Linked DNA regions of Mus musculus: region 2 is reported to be linked to region 1. Evidence: microRNA targets listed by miRTarBase, many of them from high-throughput screens and not tested one by one. Region 1 holds a microRNA gene; the other region holds the end of a gene's coding sequence.

Region 1 (5,073 bases):
CATATTTTCTAGCTGTACATCAAGCTGAGCTGGAATACTTGAGTCATGCAGTCAGATCACACTTCTCCCCACATTCTGTAGAGGAGCCCTGAGGTCCCAGGCAAGGCTGGCCGGGATGGTTTGCCCGAGCCTCCCTTGGTCTGCTCTCATCTAGAAGTATGTGGGCCACATCCTATCAGACTTTCCATATTATGCATCTTTCCTTTTGACTGTTTTGTACAGACCACAGTGTACTTACCTCAGGGCATCTCCTTCAGTGTTGGTCTTTGGGAGCCTTGGCTCTTCAGAGCATCTTCAGGCTTTCATTGGAGGCACATATCACGAGTGAACCTGATTGTTGGTATGGCTCTCTGTGAGATCTCACGAGGGTGGGGCAAAGGCCTGGCAGCCTTGGTCTTGCTGCATCCCCAGCATCTGGCCTCACCTCTCCGGTACTCTGTGGGTGAGTGATGAGCCGGTGGAGGTGGAGGGAGAGCTGTCGCTGGATCAATGCGATTGGCTTTTCAAAGTGCATCATGGTCCCCTCCTAGGGCACTTGGCATGCTGTGGGAGGCATCCTACCTGCTCAAGTCTCATATGCTCATAAAGCTGCCAAAGAGAAGGAATTAGATGATACCATCTTTCATCTTTGGAGTCTGGCTCACACAGGAGCTTTGTGAAGGCACACAGGCTGGAAAATAAAAAATGAAATGGGCACAAATGAAGGTGACTCATCTCACTTTGATGCACACCATGGGAATGAGGGTGTAGGAAAATGAATTTAAGAACCCAGGATAGCATTTACTCTGTCTCCTTTCTTGAAAAAAAATTTCTGGACTGTGTCTATGATCCAAGTGTGTTCTAGAAGCTGGAAATAATATTATGGAACCAACACCTACTCCCTACTCCGACATGAAAAAAGTTAAAAGTGAGCTTATAGGGTCAGAACCCCCCCTGGAAATATGAATCATATGATATATCTAGAATATAATTCTTATAATTTAATGATAAAAAGACAAACAGCCCAGTTTAGAAGTTGCAAAATATGTGAATTTTTTTTTTTTGTCTGAACAAAGTAGCTGTGCAAATGCAGTAAATAGATGAAAAGGTGCGCAACCTCATTAGCCACCAGGGAGAGGCAAATCAAAACCACAGTGAGGCACCGCTTTGTACCTGCTGGGAGAACTACAATCAAAAAGTCAGGCCATATAGCAAGGCTGTGGAGAAAGGAACCCCCAGACCCTGGCGGAGGAAATGTCAAATGGTGGAGCAGCTTTAGTGGAGAGTGTGAGAGTTCTCTAAAGAGACATGGATGTAATGGAACCCCACCATCTACTCTGAGTTACAGAGTCAAGAGAAATGACAGCATCTATCAGCACAGAGCTGGGAATGGCCCTAGAAGCATTTGTAGTTGAGATAGAGCAGAGGTGGGCTGGAGAGGGGGCTGTGTTTAAAAGCACAGACTGTTCTTGCAGAGGTGCCAAGTTTGCTCCCCAGAACCCATGTTGGTGGCTCACAACAACTTGTAAATCTAGCTCTAGGGGGACTCTGTAGCCTCCTTTGCCACCTGCATTCATGTACACACACACACACACACACACACACACACACACACACTTACACATACTTAAAATAAACAATAAAAAATAAATATTTAGGAAAAGTGGAAATAATATGTATTTACATGGCCTAGAGGTCGGGTATAGAAGTCAGGAGTAAATGTGATTAGCATGTAGTTTAGGGATGATTAAAACATTCTTAGATTAACTATGGTGGCTATCAAACAACTTCATGGTAATATTGAAAGCCATTGAGTTTTATCCTTTATGAGTAGGTAAATTGTATAGTCGTGAGTTCTATTTCAAAGAAACAGTTACAATTATTTAAAAAAAATTACTTGTTGTTGTAGGGGGGTCTTTTGTTCAGAGACTTACTCTATAATGCTAGTTGGTCTGGAACCCATAATGCTACCCAGGATGACCTTGAACTCACAGAAATCCTCCTGCCTTAACCTCAAGAGTGCTAGGGTTACAGGAATGCTCCATTTTGCCGAGCTGTTGTTTATATACTTTCAAAAAAAAGCACTAGCATGGGCTCTGCCCCTGTGAAAATATAGTCTTGTTTGGGAGATAGTATTTATCAACAATGACATCAAAGGCTCTATCAATTAGTTTATAACTATGAAGGGAAGGATTGAACATGACACAGGAGAATGGCAGGTATCACTGGGGAACGGAGACGAGGTATTAGTGAGGCTATTACACTCAATGATTCTAACAGATGCCTAAATAGCAGTGGCTTGAAAAGGGGAAGGTCCTGCTCTTGCTGACGTGAAGAAATACAGTTTCAAAGATCATCTAGTGCCATGCCCTGCCCTATCATGGGTGGTGCATGGCCCACATTGCATGGTGTGGGTGCAGCTGTACTGTGCGCTCTGTCTCCATGTAGAACTGGGTCACTCTAGGAAATGGGGCCTTTGTGCCAGGAGTGTGTGTACACGGTGTGTGGGGGGGAGGGGTGGTGGGTTCGGTGAACACAGAAGAGACACAGGGTGACAATCCAGTCATCTCTGCTATTGATGGTCTTGCTGAGGAGGTGATTCAGTAGGTGAGAGCCTCAGGAGGAATAGGCGTTGAGGGCAGTTTTCCAGGCCAGGGGCACATGTATGAGGGCACAGTGGGGACGGAAAGACCATCTGTCATGTTCCTGATTGCTTTTGAGAAAATCTTGCTACGTACTTCAGGCTGCCCTTGGACCAGCAGTCCTCTTGATGCACCTTCTTCTTCGCTGGGATTATGGGGTGGCCTCAAACTGACATTTCTCCTGCTGCAGGCTCATGAATGTTGAGATTACAGGCTTGCACCACATGCCCAGCATGTTTAATGATTGCTTATGAACTTGCCTATCTTGTGTCCCAGATCCTTATGCATCAAGAGTGTCCAGTCTGCAGAGGCCGTGCTTTTGGATTTATCAGAGATTTCTCTTGTGTTTTTACAGGGCTGGCAGGATCTGGCCTGGGAGGAAGGCCTCATCTGGAGAGTCTGTGTGTATCCCCAGCTCTGAGAACTGAATTCCATGGGTTATATCAATGTCAGACCTGTGAAATTCAGTTCTTCAGCTGGGATAGCTCTGTCATCACGGACCTGAAGAACACTGGTTGGAACAAACTCTGAAGGCCTTCATAGTCTGCCAAGGAACTTGAAGAGTGGAGAGAGTGGGGTGAAGCGTGGAACTGCTGGCACCGGAGGGAGTCATGTTGGATTGATGTGTGTTCTAATTTCATTTCTGTTGCTCTGATAAAATATCTTGACAAAAACAATTTAGGGGAGAAAGGGTTTATTAGATTATAATTCCAGGTCACAGCTGATCATTATAGGGAAGACAAAGTAGGAACTTGAAGCAGCTCGTCTCATACATCGTCAAGAAGAAAAAGAGAGCCAAACATTGTGGCACATACCTTCACTCCAAGAAATTTGGAAGCAGAGGCAGGTGGCTCTCTGGTAGGCCAGCCTGATGTACAGAGCAAGTTCCAGGCTAGCCAGAGCTATATAGTGAGATTGTGTCTCAACAAAGAGGAAAAAAATAGAGAAAAAATATATATGCTTACTTGTACTTGACCCCCTCTCTACACTTAAAGAGTCTAGGATCACCTGCCTAGGGAATGATGCTGCCTACAGTGGGCTTGGATCTTCCTATGCCAATTAATATAATCAATATATCCATCCACAGATATACATAGGTCAACCTGATCGAGATGATCCCTCACTAACACTCTTTCTAAATGATCCAAGATTGTGTCAGGTTGACAGTGCTAAGCAATATAGTATGGCAATTCCTCCTCCGGTTGGGAAAAGCGAAGCATCCTATAAATAGCCTCACTGAGTGGTTCTTGCTGCTGTGACTCTTGTTTACATTTCCATGATTTAGGATGAGTCAGGTATGAAGGGGACTAAGTGCTATGCATGCTGTTATAGGAGACTCATGGGAAACACCACTTTAATGAAGCTTGAGAGACACAGGATTGCCAAGCAGTGATTTCCCAGTCTCTTTATGGGACCAGATGGAATTAATTGTATGTGGCAATTATCCTTTAGCATGGTCTGCTGAGGTGTTTGGCTGCTTTTTCAGATATGTAGCAAAAAAGGATAAAGAACACATCCTTCTTATAGCCCCTCATCCCTTTTATTTGAACCTGTGCTTTCTTGCCTACTTTAAGCAAACAAGGGGTAGAGTGTTCTTTTGTACCTCCAAACAAGACAAAAGAAGTTGTAATTACACTCCACTGTAACTGACAGTTTCTTCCAGGGATGAGGATTAAGAAGCCTTAGAAAGTCTATTTGGACATATAGTCTATTAAATGATGGGGCTCAGGTCCTTGTAGAGAGGCAATAAAGACCTCTGTCACCAAGCATGTTGGGTCTCTTCTGAGAGTTGGGCTTGATTTGCTGCTGCTGATTATCTGGACTTTATTAAGCTTTTGAATTAGTGGGGAATTAGGAATGTGCCCTGTGCTTTGGGAACTCCTCTTTGACTCATCACTACGTCTTGGTGTCCTGGGATTTCCTTCTTACTCTTGTCTCTGAATGAAAAGAGAGGGAGGTAGCATGAGATGGGGGACTGTACAGCACCCACATGCTCAGTCTTTCAACTGAGGAACGTAGGTGTTTACTGTGCATCGACTCCTAAATCCAGGGCTTTGCCTATACGATCTCAGTGAATCTTACCAAGCCTCATCTCCATAATATAGACACATCAACAAAAGGATTTTTTCCCCTGTTATTATGATAAAATGGCCTGGCAAAAATAATGGTTGATTTTGGCTCACAGTTCAAGGGTATTGTTCATCATGGAGGAAGTCATAGCATGAGAAGCTTGAGAGCTGCTGGCCACATGACCTCGGCAGACAAGCCGTGGAGAGCAGCAGATGCGCACAGCTCACTTTCTCCTTTGCATGAAGTCCAGGACACTACCCAGGGAAGGGTGCCACCCTACTTTATGGTGGCTCTTCTTACATCAATTAACTTAATCACCTCACAGGCATCCTCCAGGGGTAACTCGATCTAAATAACCCCTCCTAGGGATAATTGGAGCTAT
Region 2 (5,073 bases), not on the chromosome of region 1:
GCCTGCCCAACACACGGCTGGCAACACAGCCTCACCTGGTGCAGACCCAGCAGGTGCAGCCACAGAACTTACAGCTCCAGCCTCAGAACCTGCAGCCACCATCACAGCCACACCTCAGTGTGAGCTCGGCAGCCAATGGGCACCTGGGCCGGAGCTTCTTGAGTGGGGAGCCCAGTCAGGCAGATGTACAACCGCTGGGCCCCAGCAGTCTGCCTGTGCACACCATTCTGCCCCAGGAAAGCCAGGCCCTGCCCACATCACTGCCATCCTCCATGGTCCCACCCATGACCACTACCCAGTTCCTGACCCCTCCTTCCCAGCACAGTTACTCCTCCTCCCCTGTGGACAACACCCCCAGCCACCAGCTGCAGGTGCCAGAGCACCCCTTCCTCACCCCATCCCCTGAGTCCCCTGACCAGTGGTCCAGCTCCTCCCCGCATTCCAACATCTCTGATTGGTCCGAGGGCATCTCCAGCCCGCCCACCACCATGCCGTCCCAGATCACCCACATTCCAGAGGCATTTAAATAAACAGAGATGTGGGATGCAGGACCCCAGCTTCCGTTCCCAAGCCCTGTTGGGAGTCCTTTCCAGTGCTTCAGGATGCTGGGGCGACCAAAGGAGCCTTTTAAAAAATGTTTTTATACAAAATAAGAGGACAAGAATTTCCATTTTTTTTTTTAGTATTTATTTATGTACTTTTATTTTCCACAGAAACACTGCCTTTTTATTTATATGTATTGTTTTCTATGGCACTAGGGAAAAACATATCTGTTCCAAGAAAATAAACTAGTTCTCAGAGCCTTGATTTTCCTGGTCAGGGTGAAGTTCCCTGTGTGTCTGTAAAATATGAACAAGGATTCATGATTTGTAAATGCTGTTTATTTATTGATTGCTTCTTTCCAAAATCGAAAAGAAAGAAAAAAGAACGTGACAGGAGAAGGGAAGCTGGAAACTGCCATGGCCAGAATTGCCCCTCCCCCACACTCACTGCCCCTCCCCCCAGCGTCACCTGGGATTTGCAGATGTGTTTAGAAACACGCCCAGACCTTGAACCTTGGGTTCATGGATTAGTTTTGTATCTAAAACAGGAAACAAGTCAGATGATGTGGTTTGTACACTTTCTGTAACCACCAGTGTGGACTTGAAGAAGTGTCCTCAGCATGTGCAGAGTCTACTACCCAGTACCAGTCGTGAGTCTGCAGGCTCCAGTGTTCTGTAGTAGTGTTTATGGGCCTTGGGAGTACTTCTCCCCTGCCCTGCCCCACTGTCCCCTTCCTGACAACTTGAGCCAGTAAGCCATGCAGGGTGTGGTGCCTCCTAGAGAAAACACTGCCTGGACTGTTCTGTGCATCCCTCCAAACAGCATCATCCAAATCCAACTGAGGACAGACGGACTGTCCCGGCCTGGGCCTGGGCTCCTAACACCTGACTGCCAAAGGGCTCCAATGTGCATTGTGGACTCGCCAGAGTAGCCTGCATTGAGACTCCAAGAAAACAGAAGCTATGTGGCCTCTGATCCCCAAACTGGCCTGGGTGGGGACATGCCTTGAGTGTGCTGGAATGTGGGTGGAGCCTGCTTCTGGGCCACCCCTCCTGGTTCAGGGCTGTGCTCACAGCAGATTCTTGCAGTATCAAGTATACGCCTGTGGCAGAATAAGTATCTGTAAATACATGTTTAAAGATGGATTTTGTTTAAAAAATCTAAAGGAACAAGTGTGTCGTGTGTCAAGCTGATGAGGACTGTCAGACTGTGGCTTAGCTCAGTGTGACCCAGACCTTGTGACCTGTAGCTGCCGAACCAGTAGCTCCTAAGAGCACAACCCAGGATGGCCCATCTGCTGCCCACCAAGTCCCTTTCCAGCCACTGTGTGCTGGGGGCTTTCGGGGGCAGTTGCCCACCTCCTCAGGGCAGCTCTTTCTGGCCTTTTGGGGGGCAGTGTCTGTGCCATGCCTAATAGATATGACCAGACGCATCCTAAGATGTTGATTCTTACTGTGTTGTATAAAATAAAGTGTAGTTTACAAAAAAAAGAAACGTAAAAAAAAAAAACTACATGCAAAACTGTAGGTAATGAAAATGATGTATTTTTTTCATCTTTTTTTGTTAACTAATTTGCAATAAAAATGATACTGATGGTTGTCCACATTTTGCTAAACTTGGAGTGTGGTTTGGTTCACTTTTTGGGGAGTGTGACAGAGAAAGGGCCACCCAGCACTGAAATAACCAAATCCAAACCCTCTCTTACACAGAAATACAGAGGTTGCCATAAGGACACACCATTTTCAGAAGCTGCACAGCGCAGGGCATCAAGGTGGGAAGACAGTTTCCAAAAGAGTTGATGCAGTCCTCTCAGGGATGTGGATCTGATTGATGCCAGCTGTATTCCTGTGAGCAGCAGAGGAGTGAAGGCACCTTATGTTGTCATAGATGACTATCCTCTGAGCCCAGTAACCCCCAACCTCTTCAAATTCAGCCATGCCTTGCAAAAGGTCATCCCAGCTGTGCTTGTTGACTGCTTATAGACCCCCTCAAAGAGTTGGGAAGGTCATGGGACTCAAAGGACCCTTGCCTGATGATCCAGTCACTTTGTTGTATGCAGTCCTGCCCTAATTGTGCATGACCTCAGGGAGGTACTAGAGTATATAGTCTGGGAAGACTAGTGGAGAGACTCCATCTATGTGGCTGTGAGGAAAGCCTTATCCCTGCTGGGTAAATGTTGTATTAATATTCATTTAATAAAGGCTGGGCGTGGTGGCACACGCCTTTAATCCTAGCACTCAGGAGGCAGAGGCAGGTGGATTTATGAGTTCGAGGCCAGCCTGGTCTACAGAGTGAGTTCCAGGACAGCCAGGGCTATACAGAGAAACCCTGTCTCGAAAAACCAAAAAAAAAAAAAAAAAAAAAAAAAAAAAAATTCATTTAATAAATCCTGGCAGCAGGTCACTATCCAACTCAATGGTTTATGAAAGACACACAACCTTTCTTTATATTTTATTATGTCTTATTCAGCACAATAGCTGGGTAGCTGCCTAGCCTCCATATTGCTAAGACTCTGTCTCCCCATTCTGAATTCCTGCTTACTAATTCTATGTTCTATCGTGGCTGATCTAGACCAAGTTGGGCAGCCTTCTAGGCCATGCTCTCCCAGCTCCTTCAGGTGGTAGCCTTGCCTCTCTGTCCTGCACTCTTCCCAGGCATGGCATCTCTCCTCTCCCCAACTCTCCCTTCTCCCACTGCCTCAAGTCTCAAGCCCAGGAGTCCTAAACGGTCCACCTTGTCTGTCCTCCCCAGCTACTGGCTATTGGTATCTTTATTTACCAATCAGAACCCACTGGGGACAGGTTCCCAAAAGCTATGTGTAGACCTTCCTGTGCAGTTCGGGGGAACATTAACATTTGTAATACAAACAGCTACAAGTAAAGAGTTCCAATGTGGACTCAGTAAGTAACCCTTTACCTATGTTCTGCTCTTGTCAGCGCTGCAAATCCATTGGTGCCCTAGTCAGCTTTGGTGCCTAGGACCTTAGGAGGAGGGTTAAGTGTTGTCTCTTCCTGGGAAGGAATTTTAGCAACACTCATCTAGTCCGAGAGCCCAGCAGGTACAAAGGCATCTTAGCCCTAAGAAGAAATCATAATAGCACAGGTGTGGATCTCCCTTGGCCTGCTGTACTGGCTAGTTTTGTGTCAACTTGACACAGCTGGAGTTATCACAAAGAAAGGAGTTTCAGTTGGGGAAATGCCTCCACGAGATCCAGCTGTAAGGCATTTTCTCTTAGTGATCAAGGGGGGAAGGGCCCTTTGTGGGTGGTACCATCTCTGGGCTGGTAGTCTTGGGTTCTATAAGAGAGCAAGCTGAGCAAGCCAGGGGAACCAAGCCAGTAAAGAACATCCCTCCATGGCCTCTGCATCAGTTCCTGCTCCCTGACCTGCTTGAGTTCCAGTCCTGACTTCCTTGGTGATGAACAGCAGTATGGAAGTGTAAGCCGAATAAACCCTTTCCTCCCCAACTTGTTTCTTGCTCATGATGTTTGTGCAGGAATAGAAACCCTGACTAAGACACCTGCCTAGGCCTCTCCATTTGGCCCACACCTTGGAGCACAGCAGGAGTCTCTAACCAAAGTGACAATGGGGAATGTGATGCCCTCTCTGAGCCTGACATCTGAGGACAAGTGTGAATCCATCAAGTTCAGATGTCTTGCCCCGGCTCAGTGTTGCACACTGTGAAAGCGGAGGGGGCCCAGGGGCCCAGAAGGGGTGCTCACACACAGAATTGTGATAACTTGTCTCATTCTTGCCCTCAAGGGGAAGGTCGGAGCCTGAATTCTGCCCGGAGAACTAGCATCTCCAAAATTCCATCCGGAATGGAAATGTCAGCTCGGAAAGGGCTTAGCAGGCTCATATGCCTGGGTGTTCTCTAGAGCATCATCCACAATGGCATGTGCAGCCCAGGGTTCACAACTGATGGCTGGACCACTGAGAACACATCTGGACTGGGTTCGGGGTGAAAAACATTGATGTTTGCAGATCAAAGCAAGGGCCTACCCATGTGGGCAAATCTTCTCCAGTGAGAGACCAAACAACAAAAGGTCAGGGAAGAGGGGATGGATCCTGCCTACTGCGGCAGAACATGAATCCTCTCCCCTCCAGGCTCCCACGGAAAGATTGCCTGTTCTTGGGTCTCCAGCTTGCCAGGTACAGCTCTGGGGACTTGCCAACCCCACAACCTCTCTTTGTATCTACCCTAGTAAACATTCAGTGGAGTATTTTTCAGCCATTAGAAGGAACAAAGCTCTGAGACCTACTAACATGTGGGTGAGCTGCAGGAGGACACAGGGCTCGTGAAAGACATCTCAAAAATGACCACATGATTTCATCTTTATGAAATGTCCTCAGTAAGTAAAGCCACAAAGACAGAGAACAGAGTGGCCATTCCTGGGTCCAGGGAAATGGGTATGACTGACAATGCCTATACATTTGACTTTGCATGGATAGTCCAGCACTGTGTACGTCTAAGGCAGAAGGCTGCATGGCACTGTGAAGGTCCCAGACCCGTCAATGCTAGAATTCCACA

What was found. Region 1 holds the annotated microRNA mmu-miR-146a-3p (CCUGUGAAAUUCAGUUCUUCAG, at 3,076-3,097, shown strand). A microRNA usually pairs through its seed, bases 2 to 8, with sites in the 3' UTR of a target mRNA and lowers its output. Matches are read on the target gene's strand: a 7mer-m8 pairs with bases 2 to 8, a 7mer-A1 pairs with bases 2 to 7 and ends in A, and an 8mer does both.
Region 2: the mRNA of Notch1 is a reported target of mmu-miR-146a-3p. The part of its 3' UTR that is shown has no 7-base or 8-base seed match.

Annotation. Positions count from the first base shown.
Region 1 is chr11:43,372,423-43,377,495 of GRCm38, reverse strand. It overlaps Mir146 (microRNA 146), which reads left to right and starts at 3,035; the gene lies at 3,035-3,099.
Region 2 is chr2:26,454,988-26,460,060 of GRCm38, reverse strand. Notch1 (notch 1) reads left to right here. Exons shown (of 34, transcript NM_008714.3): 34 at 1-2,159. The coding sequence ends at 530. 0610009E02Rik (RIKEN cDNA 0610009E02 gene) reads right to left here. Exons shown (of 3, transcript NR_152209.1): 2 at 2,281-2,388; 3 at 671-839. Among named protein-coding and RNA genes, the nearest start is that of 0610009E02Rik, 12 kb to the right of the region's middle.